Linked DNA regions of Lytechinus pictus. The protein of the gene in region 2 purifies or fractionates together with the protein of the main gene of each other region. This does not show direct contact. Links are inferred from orthologs where the notes say so. Each region holds a gene or a part of one and is shown on either strand. Other genes may lie near its edges. The genes, in order: 6-phosphogluconate dehydrogenase, decarboxylating-like; 3-ketoacyl-CoA thiolase, mitochondrial-like.

Region 1 (12,030 bases), on a different chromosome or scaffold from region 2:
TTTTCACAGGTGCATGCAGTGTACCTGTTTGGACTGTTTGCTAAAGCACAGTCACAGTGCAAGGTGCAGCGTGCATGCTAATGAATGAGGCTTCAGATATCTAGGCGCAATCTTTAATCAGAAAGGATCCATTGCAGATAAATCACTACCGCTTTCAATTTCAGCTGCAATATCTAAATTTGCCACAGGGGTAGTGTGAGAAGATTGTGCATTGCTGTACGGTAATTGAATGTACAAACATTTGACTGGACAGCGTGTTTGGAGAGGAATTCATTTTCATGATGGTGGGTGGTGTTGCTATAACAACTTGCAATAATGCATTCCATAAAACAATCAACCATTATTGATAACCCTTGTTTTCACAAATTTTTACTGTATAGAGTTTTTGAAAAAGATATTTTTTGCATTTCATTTTAAATCTGTACAGTAATTTGTTGGTTTTGGGCCAATTTCTTTTTTTTATAACTCATTTTTTGCTACATAGTGGAGATGACAAACTTCATGATGTACAGCCAGGAGTAGTGCTAGCTCCACCTTCCTCTCTCCTTCTAGACACTGTACCAAGTACTAGTATTATAATTTTGTCTCGGAAAGCCAGTGGCAGACAGCAGCCACTTGTATTCATGGTACACATGTAGTATTTACAGTTACGTACATGTACATGTACCTGTATTGTAGGTACTTTAGACGTGCATAAATTCCTGGTGACTTTAAAATTGCAAGAATGCCCTTCATAAATTAGATTAAAGTCTCCATTAACATTCTGAACAGCCAAACACCTCACTCACTCTAACAGCGGATGCATGCACAAATTGATGCATGAGAGGACTTGTAAGTAACATTTGGCAGAACCATCCTCCAACATTTGAGACAGTTAAAGACAAACACAAAACAAACAAACAAACAAACAAAAACAAATGTTTAAGACAGTAGCTACAGTACAGCATATATGTACAGTGTATTTCAAGGTTATTTATTCAAGGTTTCCCTGCGCACAATAACATTTCAAAACTTTTCATTTCACTGTTTATTAAAATTAAAAATTCATCAGATTAACTTAACTGTACATGAAGTGAAATACTTCATTGTGTCATATTCAATACTTTTGTTTGTACTGCAGTGTATGCAGGCAAAATAATATTTGGGAAACATTAATCGATAGGGGATGGAGAGAGAAGCACTTAAGAAAACACAAAACAAGTGATGTGAGAAACATACATGTACTGTAATGACAGTACAATTTTATATGTTGTTACCATGACAACACATGACCCAATACATTACAAATGTTGCCCAGTCCTCATCACTCCAAGACAAATGCACAAGCCAACTTTCAAAGTCTCATGAACACTGGTATCTATAGTCTCTAATGGGGCAATGCAAGAAACTTGCGATCAATTGCAAGTCTATTTTCGTTCCCAATATCAAGCATATGCCATGCAATTAATTGCAAATTTGCGATTGATTATGCTATTAAATCTGCTTCATGAAACAAGGAGTGTAATCTGATTCGCCATAGTTAAAGGTGATCAATCAATTGTAAAATTGCAACAGAATATTTGGGATTAATTGCAAAAATTTTCTTGCAACACCCCTTAGCCTAATTCATTTTACAGGATTTTCCCTGATTTACATACTTTCTGTCATAATTTTATGCTACCACATGTGGCAAAATAGTAATCCCCATGTTTGAAAATTGTGTCTTGCATGCCTTATTATTGGCAATATTATCGCTTAATTTACAAGCGATAGTGGTACTTGGCAGATTGCCTAAGGTGCATACAGTACTTTGAAATGGAAACTGGAGTTGTCAATAAAACCTTTTGAAAATAAAGGGCAATATTTAGATTTTGAAGACTGTTATTTCAACTGATCACACATACACAGTATATGAAAAAAAGACTTTCAAAACATAATCATCACTTTCTCTTTCACTTTTTAACCAACTTTGATAGAATTTGTTTCAATTGCTTTTTTTCTATCATCTTTTTAATTATAAAACCAAAACTGATTTTCCCAGGGTTTGATTTCCTTTAAAAATCAATTTCTTCAAAAATTTTCTTGCGGACATGACTCTCATAAAGGAAACCACAACCAAACAGTAGTAGCTAAAATTTGGGGGATTCATGAAAACAGGATGCAAACAAGAATTGCAAAGAAAAGGGTGTAAATGACTTCCTGGTTGCATGCACTGAATGTACAACGGCATACAAATTACTTTTTGTAGAACATGGATGAAGACTCAAATAATTTGGAGTGAAATTTGGGACTATCTACAAGTTTGTCCATATCCAGAGCTAAGACGCACTTCTTCATGTTCTGTACATAAAACAGACCAACCTGCTTTCGTGACCACATCAGAAGTTTGGTTTCCCTTGAACAGTATAAATTTCCCATTGTATTACAAAAACCAGTCCAAAAAGACCACTTGATAAAGATCACATTTGATTTCTCCTCTCCCATGTATGGTCTAAATAGACAGGTTTCACTGTACTGGTAGGTATTTCATAAAGCTGTTTGTAAGATATGAATGACTTTACGCGCGACTAGTGATCCTTTCTTGAGCTGTGTGACATCCCTATGTAATTGATTTAGGACCTAAGAACATGTTCCAGTCATGCGGAAAGTTGTGCGTAACTTTACGAACAGCTTTATGAAACACCCACCAGGATCAGTCACATGTACATGTATGTCTATAGTACTTTTAATAATGATATGAAATGGTTGATGTGGCAGGTAAACCCGAGTAGAAGATTAGAAGTACATCAGTAGTAAAGTTCTATTAAAGCCTATACGTGTGGTTCTGCGGGGAATAAAGTATCACATCCCAAATTTTGTGTGACAGATTTTTACATACATGTAGGACTGATAGCTTTACTCTTGTGACCAAAAATGCTAATTAAAGTTTGTTTTTAAAAGCAAAATTGGCTGTTCTAGTCAATGGTCTCCTTATTAGACACACTCAGTGCATATTTTCCATTCCAACAACCAGACAATATTTTTTTTCAACTAATATTCATCACTCTGAATGCTCAAGTGCTTAAGGACACAACATTCAGATTGAATAGTTTTTAGTAAACCAGTCTGAATTCATCCTACATTGTACATGTATTGCAATCAATGGATATCACTGTTTCCTGCTTGAGCATAAAAAGACATTTAGACTAGAGTCATGGGTCAGTAATTATCGCGGCCATGGTGTTGTTATCAACAATTGAAATGAAAGCAGAATTTGTCCCCTCCTCGTAAACAGTTGCTGAACAAAAAATGAGGAAGTGAAGGAATCTATAGTTTGGGTCTATGATAGGAATTTCTTTTCAACTCATTTGCATTTAATGCAGCTTAGCATGTAAATGTACAGTACATGTAGATCTGACAAATGCTTTTTCAAAGCAGTAATGTGGGGCTTCAAACAGAGTCCTCTTTAAATAGTTGCCTGAATACTTTGTATGGAAACCATACATGTACATGTATGTATCTAGTTTTCCTACATTCATATACATGTACATGTAGCTTGTAACTTTCAGGTACCGATACGAAAGATTCACCAAAATTTGAAAACAAATTCTCAAGCCCCTTCCTAAAAACACATACATGTAAAGCACAACAGAAAGCCAGCAAGTCAAATGCCCAATAATGTTCTAAAATATTAAACTTATATCCAGCAAATTTAACAAATTCTGGAATCAGCCTACGATTTGTTTTACACCTCAGCAGTGATTCTAATTTCAACTGTATTTGAGCACCTTGTTGCACAATCTAAAGTTTTGAAATATGTCCAAAGGAAATACTTAAAAAGGAGAAGATAAACATGTATGCACTACTTTGCTAGAAATAAAACAAAATCCTATTTTGCTAGATTGTAAATGTTACATGTTTAATACAACAAGTTGCAAAATGTGATCAGTCATGCATGAATAATTATAATGGGATGATGCATATTTTCAGACCTGTCTGTGATAATTAAAGTGCTGATGATCATACTTTTCATAGCTTGTAATTTTCCTGATGGCTCTCACATTTAATTAATTTGAAAATTGGTATTCATATTACAAATATTTTTGGATGAAATAAATTCTTATGTTGCCTCATTGAAGGTAGAATCAAATCTAATAATTTCTGGTCAAAATGAGCAAAGCCAACTAAAAATCTCAGAATCTTATAAGTTATAATATCAAATGAACATAAAAAATCCTCCAAACTCTGAAAAAATCAGCCATGATCACTGAGGCATTGGAAAATACCCTTCAATGACCAGTCCAAGAAAAGTCTGACATTCATATTAATTTTCATGTACATGTAGCTGGATACAAAGGCTTTACACATACTTTTCTCTTTCAAACTATACAAAACTCATTATAGGATAGCTTTATTTTCAATTTCAAACTTTTTAATACTTGTAGTTCATTCTTTATTTTTTATTTTAAAGTGATGTAGACACTGCATGTACAAAAGCATCCCTGAATCCTTTTTCTTTGTAGTGCATTCATAGCGCAAAGCTTAAGTCTGTTTTTTATGACAAAAGCATGCAAAGATTATAAAAACATTGGACTTATTCTCACGTTTCCTCAAAAACTTTTTGTCTAGCATGGGGTCCAGCATTTCGAGAAGAAAAATAAGATTTATCACTTTTATCAGTATATGGATTTATTTTAAAACTTGATTTTTACCATCTGCTGGCATGAAATGGTTTTTCAAAACCTTCTAAGTTGTAATTACATGCAGTTATTTTTCAATTTCAATTTTTTTTTTTTTGGGGGGGGGGGTGTGCAAATGAAACAACTTAAATATAGGCCTACATGTACGTGCAAGTGACATTACGGTAGATATCTAACTTGTGACGAGCGCGAGTAGGAGAGCAACGTCATTATTGTCGACACTAATTAGACAGGAATAACCGTCGTTTCTGGGGATTAATTCAACAATTTCTGACACTTTACTAGTGAGTGAGCCAACGCAGTTCAGCGGAACAACCAAAATACAGATTACAGAGACTGAAGCTTTTGGTCTAGTCTCTAGACATTAATGTGCTTTGATCTTATTCTTACTCTTCAAACCCCTCCTCAAGGATCCTAAGCCAAGGTCAAACATGGATGAACGGGAGAATAGCATGTCATAAAACATTCCTACATTTTACAAGAATAAATTTGCAGCATGCTGGTCATCGCCGCGCCGAATCCAATGGCCTGGCGCTGACCCTGGGAAATTCACAGGATGGAAGGCCAGCGAGCAATCCTCGCCAAAGTTCCACACCCCCAATCATCCGTTTTATTTTACTATTAAAATTGAAATTATAAATGCTTCGAGTTGATTGAATCATATTACCCTCCCCCTATATATCTATTTTCTTGAAATTGATAAAATAGCACTTACACTGGTTCAGCCATGGTTGATTTTGGAGAGATTTTGCCGTGGTACAGCCGAAGTCAGACGAGATACCGGAAGCAAATGAAATGCGGAGATCTCGAGAGCTAGAGCAACGGACGTCGTGACTGGTGCCGGTGCAACGTGTGCAGTGCATGCAATATAAAGTATGAGTGGGTGTGTGATGCACATGTGTGCTTCACGGGATTTCCCCCCAAGACTTTGAAGGAGCTAGGCGGGGAAGGTGGGGGGGGGGGGGAGATTTCCTTGGCATTTCCATTTTTACCTCAATTTTCTCGGGTTAAAACAGAAAACCTTGATTCGATCACCTTCGATCATCATCACTATCACTTGAACCAGGGGCGGCGGAACGTATTTCGTTGGGGGGGGGGGGGTGGCAAAGCCAAGAAAGGGCATTTAGATTTATGTCAAAATGGGCATTTTCACCATGAGATTATATTATGTGTGAAGAAGTTAACGTGTATTTTGTAGTAATAAAGATTAGCAAAGATTTCTGATTGATATTTAGGTATTTTCCGCGAGCGATCGAGCGGTTCGAAAAAAAAAATCAAATCTGATCGAAGCTGTACAACTCGCTTTTTGGTCAATTATGGCGCTAATTACACTGTACTGTTAAAGGGCATCCTTGCGAGATGTTGCGAATCACGAGCTCAAACTTTTTGACATTTCATTTAAGACATGAAAAGTTAAGGCGAGCAATTTTGTAAATCATGAAAAAAGATGTGTCTATATATATAATTAACGCCAGCGCAAAGCGTGAGCTGAAATTTGTGATTATTATTCTAACCTGAAAACTGGACATGCTAAGCATTTTTTGTAACTATAGGAACAGAATGAGTACCTTAATAAACAATAAATGATGCGAGAGCGAAACATGAGTCAAAGGTGTGTGATATTCCCAGTGATATTACAACCTGAAAACTGGACATTCTATTTTTTTTTTAAAACCATGAATAGGAAGAATACCTTACTAAACAATAATTGATGTGAATGCAGAACTGCACGAGCCAAACATTTTGTGATTTTGTAATCTAAAATGTATTGTTTTCCTTTAAAAAAGGTATTTCATTTTGAACAGGGGTACATTTCATTTCATTAAAAAAAAGGGCATTTTCCATTTTGAAAAAGGCCCGTCTGGTTCCGTCGCCCCTGCACTGAACCACACCACCACCACCAAAATTAAGTGCCCTTCATGACAAAGAACATCCAAGAAGTTTCTCATTATCTCGAAAATTGGTGAATCAAACCAGCAATTTCGTCCTGGACTATGGACAATTACGACATACTAGTAGTTTAAACTGTTCGTTAGCTCAAAAACTTAAGACGATCTGCTGTTCCGGTTTCTCAATTTCCGACAAAGACCTCCCAGCTGTTCATTGTCATTTGACGGACATTTTCAATGCTTTAACTTCATGTGTTCTTGAATTATTCGTTCTGAGTTGCGGTGCAAAAACTTGTTAATATTTTTTGAGTGACGAACACTAACTTGATCATGTTAAAGTTTGTGTCAGCCCTATATTGATCATCAAATTTCATTCATTTCTCATTGTTTATAATACTTTTTACTGATAATACTGGAATCACAGATGTGATTTCATGTGTCAATTTGGTTATCAAAATACATTATATATTTCAGTCAATAAAATGGGGCTAACCTGCATGGAGTGTATGCTCATAAGCTACACAGTAAAAACGCTGTTTAGTAAGATTTTATACAACGCTGTATAATATATCAACCTAGTATTTGTTTAACAGTTTAAACAGTCATGTTTAATTTATTGAACATTAGATATTGAAAATTAAACTTTGTTGCTTAAGATTTAAACACTTGTTTAAACTGTTTAAACAATTACTGTAAGGTTCATATAGTAAACAGCGTTGTATAATTTTTTTTTACTGTGTAAACCTAGTATAGTTTGATCTTGCTTCTACTGTGAATTGAGAAGAGCGCCATCATAATGATTAACAAGGTTATTGTTAAAACTTTGAAGGCCCTTAATGTACTTAGGGGCAAATAATAAGTAACAATTTTAAACAAACATGTAGACCATTATCATTGCTTTTAATTTCTTCAAACGAGCATGAGAGGAACATGTAAAGTGATATTCAGTTATAAACCTTTGCATTTTTTTATGAAGTGCTCTTTGTCATCTTATTAAAAAAAGAGGGAGTTTTTTACAAGAAATATCAAGAGAAAGAAAAAGGGACAAAAAGAGAAAAAAATAGTCGTTAAATGGTGAAGAAGATGGAAACTGAAGACGAAAACCAAAAAAAAAAGAAATAATGGGAGAGAAAAAAGAATTATTCAGAAAAGAGGAAGACAAAATAAGAAGAAAACGAGAAAAATAAATTAAAAAAGTATAAAGAAGAGTATAATATAAGAGATAGAATGAAGAAGGCGGAAAAAAAGACGAAGAAAATTCGAAAGCCAATTAGATAACAAAAGGAAGCAAGATAAAAAATCTTAAAAGAAAAAGGTTGAAAAAAGGAGAAATGAGACAGGCAATAAGATGATCTACAAAACAATCCAAAATACAAGTTGGTTAATTATACTACAATAGCTTTAGGGAAACTCACAGTATCAATGATTTAAAGAAAAAAGATAATTGAGAAAAATCCCCAGGTATTTGAAATTTTACTCTGGATCAAAATATTATGCGACGCGAGCAGTTCAGCCAAACGCGTCGATATCGAATATTTTTGTTTTGTTTTGAAAACAACATGAAATTCAGGCTGAATATCTGGGTGTTCTCTTTCATTTTGGATACTGAATGATTATTTAGGAGGATAAAAAAGGATTGAGCCATGAGAAAATATTCATCATCAGATCATGTGCTCCATGGCAACGAAACCCAAGGAGACACAAGGGAAATCTTCGTATGTCCTTTCATGTTCAGTATACGGATTATGAAGCATCAAACAAGTTTCTTCGGTTTGGTTTATTCACCTGAACTTCTTGGAAGACGTCCTTTTGAGAAAAGAAATCATGAATATTTAGTTATCTTTTTCCAAATATTTTCCGACCGCCCTTGTTCTCTCTACTTATAATGTGCAGTTATACAGACCAAGGATAGTCAGGAAACTTTGAAATATTTTGTTTTGTCTGTATCTGTGATCCATATTGAACACAACTTCTGTTGACGTCAATTATCCTGTTACTGATAGAATGAATTGTATTGGTATTTGTATATCTGTTATTTCCTTCTAGATAATATCATATATATTTTACAATTAAAAAGAAAGAAATAAATGATTGCATGGTGAAATGAGAATTGTTTTGCCCCCAAGCGCAACTCCCCGAGCGCAATGAATACAAACAACATGCAGGACTGGTGCCATTTGAGAACGAACGCATGTGTATATACTTTCATAAAGAGAAACTTTATACAATAACACTATTAATATCATGCCTCTTTAAGCTTGTGGTGAGTGTGTTTGTAATTTTCTACATTTCGACCAACGGGGGAAAAATATTTCAATTGGTGCGTTATGTTCAATTACCCATGAATTATGTAACAAATTGATCACTGAAACATATTAGTCCGACAGGTATGTGGTGGAGACAGATAAGAATGAGAACAAGAACGTTGACGAGATTTCGGAAAGCTGGAATTCTGGATGAAGACGACAGATAATGGCAGTACTCGTCCATTTCGTCCACTGCCAGCTCGTCCACTCACCACATGGTCTATACCTTCATTTATTCGTATGCCATTCTGTCCATCAACATTTCGTCTAGCAACTAGTTGGTCCAATAACCATCTGGTCCAACCATCATTTCGTCTAATCACTAGTTCGTCTATGACCACTTCGTCTCATAACCAGTTGGTCTAATGTTCGTTTTGTTCTCATTCCTTTTGACCAATTAACACTTAGTCTAATTAGACCAAATGGTATATCAACTAAATTGCTATTGGACCAACTGGTTATTATGACGAAATGGTGAGTGGATGAAATGGCAATTAGACCATGTGGATATTGGACGAACTGATGGTAGACCAAAATTTAGACGAGTTGGCAATTGGACGAATTGGCATTGTTCTAAATCAACCCATTCCCCCATACATGAAAAAGGTAAACGTACCGCTTTGTTCCTGTTTGGAGTGATGAATGCCCAACTACAATTAGAAGGTGAAACTTTGCACCATTTTTTTTTCGGGGGGGGGGGGGAGTGAACTGACCATTACTTTGAAGTCTCTCATTGACTGTGTGTCGTAAATAAGTAATTAAAAATTGTTGAGATAACCATCAATAATACAGAGAATGAAATTGGACAATAACTTTATTCATATTGAGAAATTCAAATATGAACCCTTCTCTCTCTCTCCACCCCCCTCTCTATCTCGCTTAAAGGTCATGTCCAACCCAGAAAATGTTGATTTGAATAATCAAACTAGTATAACGCTGAGAATTTCAACAAAATGTAAAATAATAAAGTAATGACATTTTACAGTTTCCATTATTTTTCACACAAAAAAAACCCAGTGATATGCACAACTCAGTGACATGCAAATGAGACAGTCGATGATGTCCGTCACTCACTATTTCTTTTGTTTTTTATAGTTTGAATTATACAATATTTCATTTTTTACAGTTTTGACAATAAGGGCCAACTTGACTGAACCATATAGTATTAAACAATGCTAATTCCACATGTTCAGGAAGGAATTAATCGTTTATTTACTTGACAATGAGGAGAAAATCATGATATTTCATATAATAAAAGAAATAGTGAGTGGATGACGTCATCAGTCTCCTCATTTGCATACCGACCAGGATGTGCATATAACTGTTTTGTGAATTTAGCGAAACTTTAAAATGTCATAACTTTCTTATTTTACATCCGACTTTGATGAAATTTTTAGTGTTAGATTTTCCGTTTATTCCAATCAACTTTTTTGTTGGGGGTGGACCTGTCCTTAAAAGAAAGCTCAATTTTAGTACAAAAAGTGTTCACTAATTACATTAATACAAAGTTTTCATCCTTTGGTCATTTGAAGAAAATGAAATTTTTTGAAAATGTTAGCTTATGTGAAAACGAACAACAACAAAAAACCCACCCAAAGAATAAAATCACTAGAAGTGTGAGAATACAAAATAAATGAACGAACAATAAGAAAGTTATGAGCATTTGAGTATTGAAATAACTAATACTATGGAGATCCTCCAATTTGCATTCATTTTGTTAGTACCAACATTGTCCATGATATTCTGTGAAACCTCATTACAAGTCCTCCCGTTAAAAGTGCACTTGATTTATGGATAGCCTTGATAAAAAGTAAAAATCTGAATAAATATGCATATCCCCACTTTCCTTTTTCTTATATTATTACATGAAATCATTTTTCATCAATGTGTAAATGATGATGTGTCTCCATTATGATGAAATAATTTGCAGCAAGAAATAACTAATTCACTTAATCAGTTGTCAGTTCAATTGTTTTAATTCTTGGTAGAACAAATTTGAATGAACCTAATTCCATACAAAGAACAAGTGGGGATATGATATCATTAACACATTCATGAATATTCATGAAGGCATGCCTAGAACTGTTTCACCAGAATAATGCAAGTCTTTAAAATTCAATAACTTTGCTATTTGTTATCCGATTTTGATCAAATTTTCAGCATTTGGCTGTGTGAATTTTACTCTATTTATTGAGATATAATTATCTTTATCCCGGAGCATCCCTTTAAATGGTCATAATGTTCATATTAGTCATTCAATTTTTCTCAAACCTTCATTAGTTTCTTTCTTTGTCTTTTTTCCCCTATTCATACCTGCTGACTGGTTTCAAAGATTCCATTTTACAGCAGATCCCCCGGTTTAGCTGAATAAAGCGATGGATCAACGATTCCGTGAAATGAGCTAAATTGAACGGATCAATATGTAGACAGAGAAGTATCACACACCTGAGGGAGCATTAACATTTACTAAGGACGAGAGAAACCATACAGCGATTTATATAATCTGTTTGTCAGACTAAAAGAAAACATCAAAATATTATACATTATGATTACAAAAATAGGCTTATGTTGTATCTGGGACGAAGTTCTATGTATAATACCGATTACCTTCCATTAGTCATTTGCATTCAGCATTTTGCAGGATTGTTAATTATTTTTTTTACATTGTTGAATCGAGAACGTGGTAGTCTCAGATCAGCATTTATCAAATTTTGGTTGCACTTCATCTGATTCACATCCATCGGAAGTCATAAAAAGTAGCTTGGATGTATCTTGTCAATTTTTTAAGAGTTCGATCAGCACGTAGTGTCCATGGACATGGTATTTTTTTTTATTCGACATCGCTATTTTCCCAGACTCTAAATGCTAAGGCAGTATATACAATGATATAGGACCTCCGTGTGGACGTTCTTTTTTTTATGTTTCTTAAACATGTTAAAAGGATTTTTTTGAAAAGGAGTCCTTATCCGCCACTGTATCGGAATAGAAAAATGGGGATTCATGAAATGAAATGATGGTTATTTTGATGATGATGATGGTGATGATGATGATGATGGTGGTGGTGATGATGATGATGGTGATGATGATGATGATGGTCGTGGTGGTGGTAATGGTGGCGGTTATGATGATGATGATGATGTTGATGATGATAAGGATGATGATGTTGTTAGTGATGGT
Region 2 (12,390 bases):
TCAACATTGATGGTGTAACGGGAGGCTCACCAAGAACAATAATGAGATGCCCTTTAATAGCGCATGTAGATCAAAACACTAACTTATACAGAATTAATTGTACAACTTAATGTATAAAAATGATAGGCCTATATTTCATACAAATTAAAGCAAGTTACATATCATGTAGGCCTATATAGAAATTACAAAATTATATCCAACATAAACATAGAATCAAAGGACGTAAATGTGGGAAGGATGGAAGGAGGACGATGCAGTTAAAGGTAGGGAAATCCAGAGAAGGGCTAATTCACTGCAGTCTTTTGAATTAATTGTCAATCTTTCTATTAATGTCCGCTGTATGTTTTTATTTTTATATGATTGTTTATATGATAGTATATCAACATTGTTATCTATTACAGGCCTATAAACGGACAGGTAAATGCAAATTATTTAGAATTTCATCCCGAGAAATCAGGTTTTTAAAATGCCAAATTAATAGCATAATCCCCATGTAATCACTCTAATAGTGTATTGAGATGCAATTTGTCATTCATATTTTCGATTTTTATGAGGTTGTGTTCTTTTCTTCAAGATAAAGGCCGGAGACGGCACCCCTTTTCACAGCGTTACAACGCACGAGCTATGGGTACATCCGGGTACTTTTGCGAATCTATACCTATCGAGCAATGGCCGCCACGCTCCACACAATCACAGACGTTAAGTACGCGCGCCTATGGCGACTCCGCACTCTAGCGTAGTTAGTATACATCTCTATGGTGCACTGTGACATAAACAATGAATACATAGTACATGAAATAAACTTATGAAACAGAGTACAATACAAAACAATGTAGGGAAAATGGGGGGGGGGGGACAGGGCAACTTTATATAAAATACTAGTATGTCATTTGAAACAGAAAAAAAATCATCAACCAATCATCCCACAACTAAATCTATAAAGCAAATCACAAAATTTAGGGACCGGACGTAAGTTTTTTCTTAAGTTTTTTCTTAAAGTTATATAAGTTGGTGCATGTCTGATGTCTGTAGGTAAATTGTTCAACTTTTTTGACCTATAAAACAAATATTATGTTGATAAGAACAGGTCCTGTGTCTTGGCAAATGAATTAATGAAGAGGAGCATGTATTGTATTTATATAAATTCTGATTTGTATCAAACAACTGAGAAAAATTAACAGGCATAAGCCGATTGATACACTGATAAACAAAAAAAAATTGCTGGTAGGTTGTAATTTCTTCTAAAATAAGCAGTTTAAGCTCAGAGTATAATGTGCTAACTTTAGATCTTGGGTTTGCTCCAGCTATGATTCTAACTATTTTTTTTTTTGGGGGGGGGGGTCTAATTGCCGTTTCATCCACTCAACATTTAGTCTAATAACCAGTTGGTCCAATTTGCCAATAGCCATAAAAAAGTCCATACCATTTGGTCTAATTAGACTAAGTGTAAATTGGGAAAAATGAATGAAAAAAAATATATTAGACCAACTGATTGTGAGACGAGATGGCCATAGCCTAGGCATAACGTCCATGCGCAGTGAGTCGCCATCGGCAGTCTTCAACCTTCAATTTTGCAACCAAAAAAAAAAATTCTTACCCAAATCTTTGTATGAGATGAAAGTATCCACAAATCCTTTGAAATATATGATAAACTTTTCTCCTGAAATTGCTACAGTTTTTAGTAAGAACATCATGAATTACACACTTCCGGAACGGCGACACAATGGGCCGTATGCATAAAAACAAGCAATTGCTTGTGCTAGCCTTTTGCTTGAATCGGTATGCACACAAACAAGCAATTGCTTATAAGCAAAAGCTTTTACTTACAAGCACAAACAATTGCTCACTACTCGTAAGCAAATGCTTACCAAACAAGCAATTTACTTGTCTTGATAAGCAATTGCTTGCGTTTTTTCAAGCACCTCCGGACCAGCTTCAGCTCTTGCTTACTCAGGGCATTCTCGTTTAAGGATTAAATTTTCATACCGTTTCAAGCTCCATATTCCAGAGGTTATGTTGTGATTTCATATCTAATCAATTTCCTGTTATTTTAGACTTTTTACGGCAATTTTTGTCCATCGATCTACACAGAAACCCCCCTGATGCTCTGCGCTGTTTTCCCCCTATTTGCGTAATAAAAAAATACTGCTGCCAGTTCGGGCACGAAGCGTTGTTGTCCTACTGTGCGATGTTCGCACAACCGTAACGATCCTTTGTCCAACACATAAGCAATTGCTTAGGCAGTGCAAGCAAAAGGTTTCAGCACAAGCAAAAGCTTGTGCATACGAATTTAAGCAATTGCTTGAACTTGCCCTTTTGCTTGACCAGCTCTTGCTTTTGCTTAAAGCATTTGCTTATAAGCAATTGCTTGTCTTTATGCATACGGCCCAATGATGGGTATATTTTGAGTCGCCGATTCGAAAAATCCAATACATTTACTACACAGACATATCGCGCATGCGCACACACACGCACCGATCGTACACAAAAGTGCATTGACTCAGCTGCATTGTTGAAACCTCTCCGTGGGTTAAGATATACGTTGAGTCGCCAACCCCTCTTATTTTGATAACAATTGTCACCCCCACCTTCAAAATGAAATGATCGTGAGCATTTTTTTATAATCTATATTTTGATACCAAATATTGGTAACTTGAGCGGGCAGTTTTGGAAACATCGATTGCTTAGTGTGGGCGTCTCAAATCGTTGCCCGAGAAAAATGGCAGCTTAAGGACGTTCCACAGTTATGTTTGTGCGCATTATGATCTGCGCATAGTTTACACTGCGCGCTGACGTCACAATGGATGAACAGGTGATTAATTAGCTGCGGGTATGTGCTGATTTTTCTCATCTTCTGCACTTTAACTGCAGATCCGATGCGTTATTTCATGAAGCTAAAAAATTGAATTATTCCATGGACCATTCAAAAAAAGATTCTCTACAATTTCAAAATACTTTACTCTGCAGTGCTGCCAAGAATCACGAATATTACCCCGAGATTGAATAAATGGTAGAGTGGTTTTGATTTTTTCTTCACATAGATACAAAGCATTCGGCGCATTTTTGGTGTTTTAAAAAGCACATTTGCTCTAATAAAAGTACTGATAGTTTAAAAACAAGCACATGAACCCCTATTTTTTAATGTTTGTTCCTCTTAGGTATACCTTCCTCTACAACTCTACAAATTTTGGTGAAAATGACATGGATTTTGAATAAAGTGCAGCATTTATTGTACTTTTGTAGTTTGTTACTGAAATTTCACATTTTTTAGATTGGGATTTTGTTATCTTTTACGCCATTTTTAAGAACTGACAGTGCTGTTAAACTTAAAATTGCAAACAAATAGCACTTTAAATATATTCTCCATTCTAACGATACAATTATTAACTCTCTTGCGAAATTTTATGACTTTTTCATGTATTTTGACTGAGTAATACAGGTTAAAACTCATTGTAGTAATCTTGGGCGGTCTAAAAATGCAAAATTCTTTTGAATGCGCAATTCTTAAGAACATCAATTTGGGTGAACTTTGAAGTTCTATAGCAAAAAATCAAGCACATGGACCTATGTTAATTTTTGCATATTTCGAATATTAAGGTTCTAAAGTATCTATGTGCAAAGTTTGGTGAAAATGACATGGTTTTCACTTTAACTGTGCATGTGGAACGTCCTTAAATTCGCACCGTACAGACCAAGTTTGCAAGTCTGACTTTGACTGCGCTTAACTCCTTTGTCTTTTGCTGGATCTTTTAACCAAACGTTGCAGCATTTCAGGGAATTACTGAGGATTAATATCAGATGCCACAAGACACTTTTCAACATTGCAAAAGATTTCTAGAACCATTGTAGTCAGGCAGTGACAGGTGAGTGGCGCAACAGTAAAAAAACTCACTGCGCATGGACGTTAGATGAACTGGTCTAGACAAAGTGATGATTGGACCAAATGGTTGTTACACAAAATGTTGATTTAGAATTTTAGAGTATTAAATTTATGAGATTCATTTTTTCTAACTAAAATTTAGTCTAAAATATTGAATTTTCCTTGAAAAGCAGAACACAATTTTCACAGTCGAGACAAGGTGACATTCACAATGACAATGTCATTTTAATGATTCATTCAGTTTAGAATTAGAGCCTAGGCTAAAACAAGGTAGGAGTCTACACTTAATATGTCAAATACAATCCAAACAATATTAATTATGCCAGTTATAATACAATCCCGAAGCATGCAATCAATCTTATTCATTATGACTTAAGTCAAGAAACTAACAATTTATTTTCAGATCAATTCGCGAATTCGCAAGCGCCGCGGCGTCAACGTGCACATCACCCGGGTGCGTACAACTACAAACACTGACCCAGGGTTTCCCCGCAAACTCACAAGCAAGATGCGGTGCCGGCGATCAGGGGAAGAGACCGCACAGAGCTGGGCGCAGAAAATAAGAAATGAGACAAGACTGCATTAAAATTCGAATTATGAAATTAATTATATGGATGTCATAAGCTAATAATATAATTACCTCGAGTCAGGGCCATGATGTGACTTTCAACGACTTTAAAAGACTAATAATTTGAAGTGCAATCTCTGTGCCACTTTCTAGTAGGCCCCTAGTAGAATTCGTTCTAGTCACAAAATGCTTTTAAAAGATTTGGCGCCATCTATTGACAATTAACATACACGATCGAAGAAAATGGAAAGGGGCGGGGTCGTGGTCGGGGCGGGGGACGGGCGCGGTCGGGGGGGGGGGGGGGGCGGTGGAGATCCCATCATCATTTCAAAGAAGTTCACTTCATTGCGAAAAAGGACATGTATCATGTTCAAACAGAATGTGCAATAAAGAAATTTGCATTTTTTTTTTTCATTTATATGAATCTGTGTTTTATTCGAATATTCACTTAAATTTACTTCATGTATTTGTTATGATTCTATTTGTAAAAGGTCACATATTTCAATATGTGGACTTCTTTCGATTGTATATTTTGTTAGTTTTATTTCAACAAAATCCAATTATGAACTAAATTAAGACCCTCAAGAGCCCCAGTTACTTTTACAGGAGTACATGAATTGCGACTTTAGCGTTATAATAATAATGAAAACTTTTACCCAGGGTAGCCACTTCAGTTCCGAAAACTGTTCTCCCAGCGGGCCCTGCTATTATTATTACCCCGGCTTTAATTAGCACGGCTACCTTGATCAGGCGCTCGAGCATTCGAGGAATTTCTTCCTACCGGGTACCCATTCACCTCTCCTGGGTCAAGTTCTGCACAACGTGGATCAATTTTTTGCCGAAGGAAATTAAGCCATGGCTGGGAATTGAACACACGACCCTCTGTTTCAAAGTCCGGAGACTAATCCACTGGGCCCGGACGCTCCACGTTGACTCTATACTGTTTTTGTTACTTCAGATTTATATTAATATTTTACTTCCGACAATTGTAAGCGCTGTGATACTTTTTGTGTATAGCGCATATAAATAACCGTTATTATTATCATTATAGCTCTACTCCAGCCCTCCCCATCCCTCCCCTCTCTGGCCAGCGACGCCCTTCTTTATTGAAATTATGTTACTTTTTTTTTTCTCCCCCGTTTCGAACTCCATGCGGTTTTTCCCGGTTTCAAAAATGTATTGTAAATTCTAGATGGGCAAAATGATACGTTTATACACACGCCAATATTTTTTTCTAGGTCATATTGAGGACCGTTTAGAATGGAAAACATTTGCATTGTGTCAAAAGGTCAATCCCTCGATCCCTCCTAGATATCTATTCCCCCGCCCGCACCCTTCTCTCTCTATATATATATTCTGCCCCCCCCCCTCCTTTATCTATAGGCATTTTATTTGATTCTGTTCTGTGTCCCACTTTTTAGGCTCTAGCGTCACCCCCCCCCCCTCCTCCTCTATCACCCCGACCCTCCTCTCTATCTGTCTTTCACACACATACGGCACACAACCACACTGGGGCGCCCCCCCCCCCCCTCCCCCCAAGCAAAAAAAGGCGTGAAATATGTTACTTTCTGAACAGGCCTATTATTATGTCAAAATCTACCATAAAATAGAAACATTATTTTGCTCACTCGCAACTTTTTATATTTTCCCCCGATACGCCATATCTGACCCCCTCAATTTTTTTTTACTCATTACGCCACTGCACACACACACCTACTCCGTGTTTCGATTCTGTCTCCTCTTCACCCGGCACTGTTGATATACTTCATCTGCATTAACATTTGACCTTTGACATAGTTATTCATCATCGCTATTGCCGTGTACAAAACAGTGTTGGTGACCTTGAAAAAAACAGTCACCTTGCTAATGTTTTTGAGACAAAAAAAGTATTAAATATGGACATAATAACACTCATTTAGCTCTCCCCCCAAAACGCGAACATTTCGGGGAGGGTTTAATTCCGAAAAGGAAGAAGGATAAAATTATAGTATGAAACCTGTGAAATAGTATTTTAAAAGGTATTTGTAAAATGTATTATTTAACATGCTTAAATGCCCCTATAATTAAAATGACTGAGAAAAGAATATGACACCACCGCGAGATCCCCCCCCCAAAAAAAAAAAAATAATAATAATAATAATAATACTGGCACCGCTCCCCCGTCTACAAGAATCTGGATGGTGTTTCATAATACCAAATACACAATGCCTGCAACAAGTTTGCTTGCTCTGAGCCAATCAAACTGTATGATTTCAGTAGCTTTAAACATTTTATTGCATATAGTTGTTAGTAAAACAGGCTTTGTGAAACGGGCCCCAGATGTAGATGAAATAATTGATTGAATGAAGACATAACGGGTAAGGAATGACAAGAGAAATAGGTCGAACGTCAAATGAAAATTGATGAAAACATGCACGTGTGAGCATCTATAATTCAACCATAGCTGAACTGAATTACAATGAAACTTAATATCTGAACAAAATACTAGGTAGTTTTTGCATTTATGCCTATAGTACGGGGAAACCTGGGGGGCGGACTCTCTGCGACGCATCGATTCCTTGGAAAATGCAATTAAAATCACAATAAAGAACTGAGAGGCTTTTGTTTAATTGAAAGTTTTTTTGCTTTTTTTTTAAATTATTTTCCCTTCCACAGGGTTCTTTATTTTCAAAAAGCATAGTTACACTATATAAACATTTACCATTTTTTCAGACAAACAGTAAATAAACATGGTATATACATAATTCATAATACATAGACATGTAGTCAAACTGACTTATTATACAATCAAGTTGTCACAGCCAAATCAAATTTGGCAAGAAAAATAAGAGAACTGATACATTATATCTAAGAAATAAACACTGGTATTAATTATGTTTGTTAATGTGACAGATTGCCAGCTTGTTCGAAAAGGTTTCTGAAACGAAACTATTTCTTTCTGAACTTATTTGCTCTGAAATTTGTTTCATAAATAAGTTAAAAGTTGGTGGACTGGGACAGCAATTCATCCGAAGATTTGCACCGGAAGAAAATATAAAATTTTTAATTTAAATTCAAATTTAAATAAATGCTGTTTACATTTTTATACATACGCTATTAACTATATGGAAATAAAATAGTTGTTTAAATAGTTAAAACAAATGTTTAAAACCTTAAACAACTCTCAATAAATTTGGCATGCAAGGTTCGCTTAGTAAACAAGATATTGATTTTACTGTGTATGAATCCTACGATTATAGCCTTGGATATGATTTTAAACAGCGTTTTTCCTATAGCATTCATAAGCCCCAAATGTTGACTGCAAAGTCGGGTAGTGGAATCGACATTTATTTTCATAATAATTATGAACGATTAGTTTAGTGTAGATCAGTCGAAGGCTAAATTGGCAGAAATGTTGAGGTCGAATTAGAGGCAGGGTCAACATTGCCTACAAGCGGGACTTTTTTTTTTTTTTTTTTTTTAAGGAGCAAAACAGTTGCATGATCAAGCACATTGCCTTTATTTTTTATGTCTTCCTTCATTTCTTCCCCTTTTTTGTTCTCTTTCTTCAATTTCTGGGTTTTTTTTATGGGGGTGCATTTTTTTCTCTTTCTTTCTCTCTCTCTTTCTTTCTTTCTTTCTTTCTTTCTTTCCGTCTTTCTTACTTTCTTTTTTAATTCATATATCTATCTTTCTTTCTTCTTTCTTTCTTTAAGTTTAGTTTTTTAATGTAATTTTTGTTTATTAATTTCTTTCGTTGTTTTCTTTTTTCTTTTTATCTGTCAATCTTTCCATCTTCCTTGATATGACAGTGTGCAGTCAACCCCTACGGCCATACCTGCCTACTCCTATATCTGCACATACGTTTATTGAAATGACAATGAAATAATAATCTGCCACCCCACTTCCCATCTCAGTAGGACACCCCCCCCCCCCGTCACCAGTCCCAATTAAGCCTCCCATTAAGGAGGTTGGTGTACTTTTGTTCAATTTAAATCTATATCCCTTCCTGTCTGACATGAGTTAATGAAACCATGGCAACGCGAGACATTTATCATGTTGATATCCCATGCCCAACAGAACTTGACCTTATAATGATCAAAGGGTAATCGATAATTGTGTCTCGCCTAATTGCGAACATGATTAGAAATCGAGCGATCGTTGTGTAGCCACACTGTTCATGGACCGGGCTCGTATAGAAATACATTTTCATTGAAATTAATGATAAGTTATTCATGTTGCTTCAACAATACCACACGGGTAACACAACAACTGCTGAGTGATGCTTGCCTATGAAAAAAAAATCATATAAGCAGACCGGGTACGTGGGATTCGAACCCGGCACGACCTTTGGATCACTAGATCAGCGTCATAACCACTAGACCACCAAGTGCCCTAAATTATCTGGGTCAAGCTATCCCATTATATTAAATATCAAATCGAAGGAATCATCTTGAGTGATAAAGATAAAAGATAAGTTATTCATGTCTTTCCAACAATACCACAAGGCTAACACGGCAAGGGTAACACAGCAACAACAGTTGATGTGTTAGCCTTGTGGTATAAGTTGGAGAAACAATAATAATAATAACAACAACAATAATGATAACGGTATATTTACCCAGGGTAGCCACTTCAGTTCCGAAAACTGTTCTCCCAGCGTACCCTGCTATTATTATTACCCCGGCTATGCTATATAGGCTACCGATTCATGTGCAAACAGCTTTTTGAGGAATAACTTCCTGCCGGTACCCATATACCTCACCTGGGTCGAGTGCAGCACGCTGTGGATGAATTCCTTGCTGAAGGAAACTACGCCATGGCTGGGATTCGAACCCACGACCCTCTGTTTCCAAGTTCGGAGACTAATCCACTGGGCCACGGCGCTCCACTGAACATGAATAACTTATCAGTTATCTTTATCACCCAACGATGAATCCTTTGATTGATACCTGCCATTGAGGTTCCACGACATTTGCTCCGGCGATGATTACTCCAATGGAAAGTCTACACGTTATAAGCCAAACACACCTTATAACCCAGGGGCCGCGGAAGCGGGGAGGGGGGCTTCAGCCCCCCCCCCCCCTCCACTTTTTTCCAAAACCGTGTACAAAAAAAACGTAAAGATGACCATAGGATTGTGATTTTTGCATGGTCAGCCCCCCTCCCCCGCCCACTTTGAAAACCGTTCGTTCCGCGGCCCCTGTAACCTAACCTCCATAACTAAAGAAACCCGAATTATAACCTATATACATTATTCTGAACCAAAAACTCTGTTACAATACCAACTCCGACCCTCTGAGATATTAAGGCCGCAGATCAAAATGTAGCATGAGCATATATCGTGTCACTGCCATTGAACGCTCAAACGTATAGATGGGGGGAGGGGGGGGGGGGGGGGGGTCCCCCACCAAAAAAAAAGAGAAAAAGAAGAAATGAATTATGGACTGACAAGGGTGAAATATGACATAGATTGATACAATCTACCATGAAATTAGCTCTTTGTATTAACAAGGTCAACATTTTTGCTCACACACTTCGCTCGCTTGCGACTTTAAAAAAATGTGTGTGTGTATTTGAGTTTTGTCAGACGTGTATCAATCAGATATGATTATTTACGTCTGGGACCGACTTTTAACGTCACCATCTGGGGAGTGTTTCATCAACATTTGTCAGATCTGACATCTTTCATGCATGTTGATTGGCTGAAAGGCACTGTTCCTATGGTAACTGTCGGATAAAATGGGACTTGTCGGATAAAACGTCCGACAAGTCCTTTCATGAAACGCTCCCCCGATAGACGTGACCAGGGCTCGAACCTCGAACCTCTGATCAATTTGTAACTTCCCCACATAGCTTGGAATACAGGCACACGCCACAACGCCCAGTTGTGGCGTGTGTTGTCCCACACAACATGTTTGACCCCCTCAAAATGTTTGGCTTATTACGTTACTGGTTGAATGTAACATCCATTTCCTCATCACGTGACCTTTGACGGAAACACATTCACGCGTGCTTCTACAACCAAGGTAGAATATTGTGTCATGGTTGCAAGGTTGCGTCACGAGAGAGCTTTGTGGGTGAACTTTAGCATTTGACCTCAAGCTACATTTGACCTTGATATGTGACCTGCCCAGCAACGTACCATTCCAATCAACAATAAAGCTTGCGTACAACGTTGGACTAACGTAACCTTGTGAATTCGTTTTAACAATTAACGTTGCGTCAATTGTGTGGCAGGCAACGCTGCATCCTTGAAATTAGAATCGTCAGTCCAACGATGTTTACAACGTTGGTCCGACTCCGACGATATCTGGCAACAACGTTGCTCCAACGTTGGCAGCGTTCTCTTCCAACGTTGACACAGTGTTGTCTTCTAACGTCCGACGAGTTTCGAGTTAAACGTCACTTTGTATGTAAGGGATGGGAAATGCCCATTGATTGCTGATACTGTACTTGCCAACTGTATCGCTTGGTCGGCAGGGCACTGGAAAAAATTGACAAGCCCCCCCCCCAAAAAAAAAAAAAACGTTTTCACTCGAAAAAAATGATGGTGATTTTTGTCAGAAAAAGATCGTTCGACCCCCTCCCCCCCCAAAAAAAAAGGGTTTCGCTGAAAAATAAACTAATCAAGGTATTTTTTTGGGGGGGAGGGTCATATTTCTATTTTTTTACATAAGGGGTGTTGCCAATGGCGTAAGACGTACACAAAAATAAGTCGTCACGAACCGTTCAAAAATGGAAATTTATGCGTTTTATATCATATAACATATGAGGCAGCTGTTCGTCTATGATGTCACAAATCCAAAACATTAAATTCTACTAACTTTCTTAATCTTTAATGGATTTTCCTCAAGCCTGCACCAATATTTTTTAAATTATTTTTCTGCTCTTTTTACAAGAAGCTTTTCTTCAGGTTGAACTTAATTCTACCTTTAAATCTCAGTGTGCCTACCGGGGCCCGTAACCAGTAACACGAAGCTAAGCGATCAATCTTACACAGTAAAAACGCTGTTTTAAATTTTTATACAACGCTGTTTACTGTATGAACCTTACAGTAATTGTTTAAACAGTTTAAACAAGTGTTTAAAATCTAAACAACAAAGTTTAATTTTCAATATCTAATCTTCAATAAATCAAACACGATTGTTTAAAGTGTTAAACAACTACTGTAAGGTTCATATTGTAAACAACGTTGTATAAAATCCTAAACAGCGTTTTTACTGTGTAGGGCAAATTTCTGCAATATTATTAATTTGAGTATTTAGGAGTATAAGATCAATCGTAGGAATAAACTCAACAATCAATCGTTAAAGGCTTTGTGTTACGGGACCCTGGTAAATATCAATGCCTTCGCCTGGGGAGCATTTCACTAAGAGTTATATCAGTGACGCTCATGCACAGCCAATCAAAAGCAAGGATTTCTGGTAGCTCAGGTCCCCATGAAAGGTGTCCCTGTTCTCATGTACAAGTTGTAAGGACATGAGATTAAATACTGAGCTTCTTGATCTCTGTTAGGCCAGACAGCGAGATCTAGCCGCCCCCGCTCCTCCATTTTTCCCATAAAAATAACTTCCCGTTGCAAAGTACCTACAGATTGAGAATGGTTTTCAATGAACACGATATGTATCAGCGGTGTAATGACCCCCCCCCCCCAAAAAAAAAAAAAAAAAAAGAACACAAAAACCTCCGAGGTGGCACAGTCATGGGGTATGGGCGACCGATGTACGTACCCCTTGACCCCTATTTTTTTAAATTAGCGAGTTTTCAATACAAAAAATGTCTCATAGATTTTGACATAATATTCAGAAATATATCATATTTTACCCTTTTACACCTTTTTTTCCTGGACATTTTTTTTGAGGGGGTATCAATGCCCCCAAGCCTCGCCCCCCCCCCCCCCCCCACCTGCACGCCTGTGTTGTGTGTATTAAATTTCGCTATTACGTTTGAGGCCGCTACC

What was found.
Region 1: the proteins of 3-ketoacyl-CoA thiolase, mitochondrial-like (region 2) and 6-phosphogluconate dehydrogenase, decarboxylating-like fractionate together in Homo sapiens (co-fractionation; 3 studies listed by BioGRID). This does not show direct contact. The link is inferred for Lytechinus pictus from reciprocal best matches to the Homo sapiens genes ACAA2 and PGD.

Annotation. Positions count from the first base shown.
Region 1 is NC_087258.1:13,305,382-13,317,411, forward strand, and holds the start of 6-phosphogluconate dehydrogenase, decarboxylating-like, read right to left. Parts: upstream 5,548-12,030; 5' UTR 5,388-5,547; coding exon 5,374-5,387; intron 1-5,373. UniProt on the Homo sapiens protein: Catalyzes the oxidative decarboxylation of 6-phosphogluconate to ribulose 5-phosphate and CO(2), with concomitant reduction of NADP to NADPH.
Region 2 is NC_087250.1:5,139,549-5,151,938, reverse strand, and holds the start of 3-ketoacyl-CoA thiolase, mitochondrial-like, read right to left. Parts: upstream 4,655-12,390; 5' UTR 4,537-4,654; coding exon 4,521-4,536; intron 1-4,520. UniProt on the Homo sapiens protein: In the production of energy from fats, this is one of the enzymes that catalyzes the last step of the mitochondrial beta-oxidation pathway, an aerobic process breaking down fatty acids into acetyl-CoA.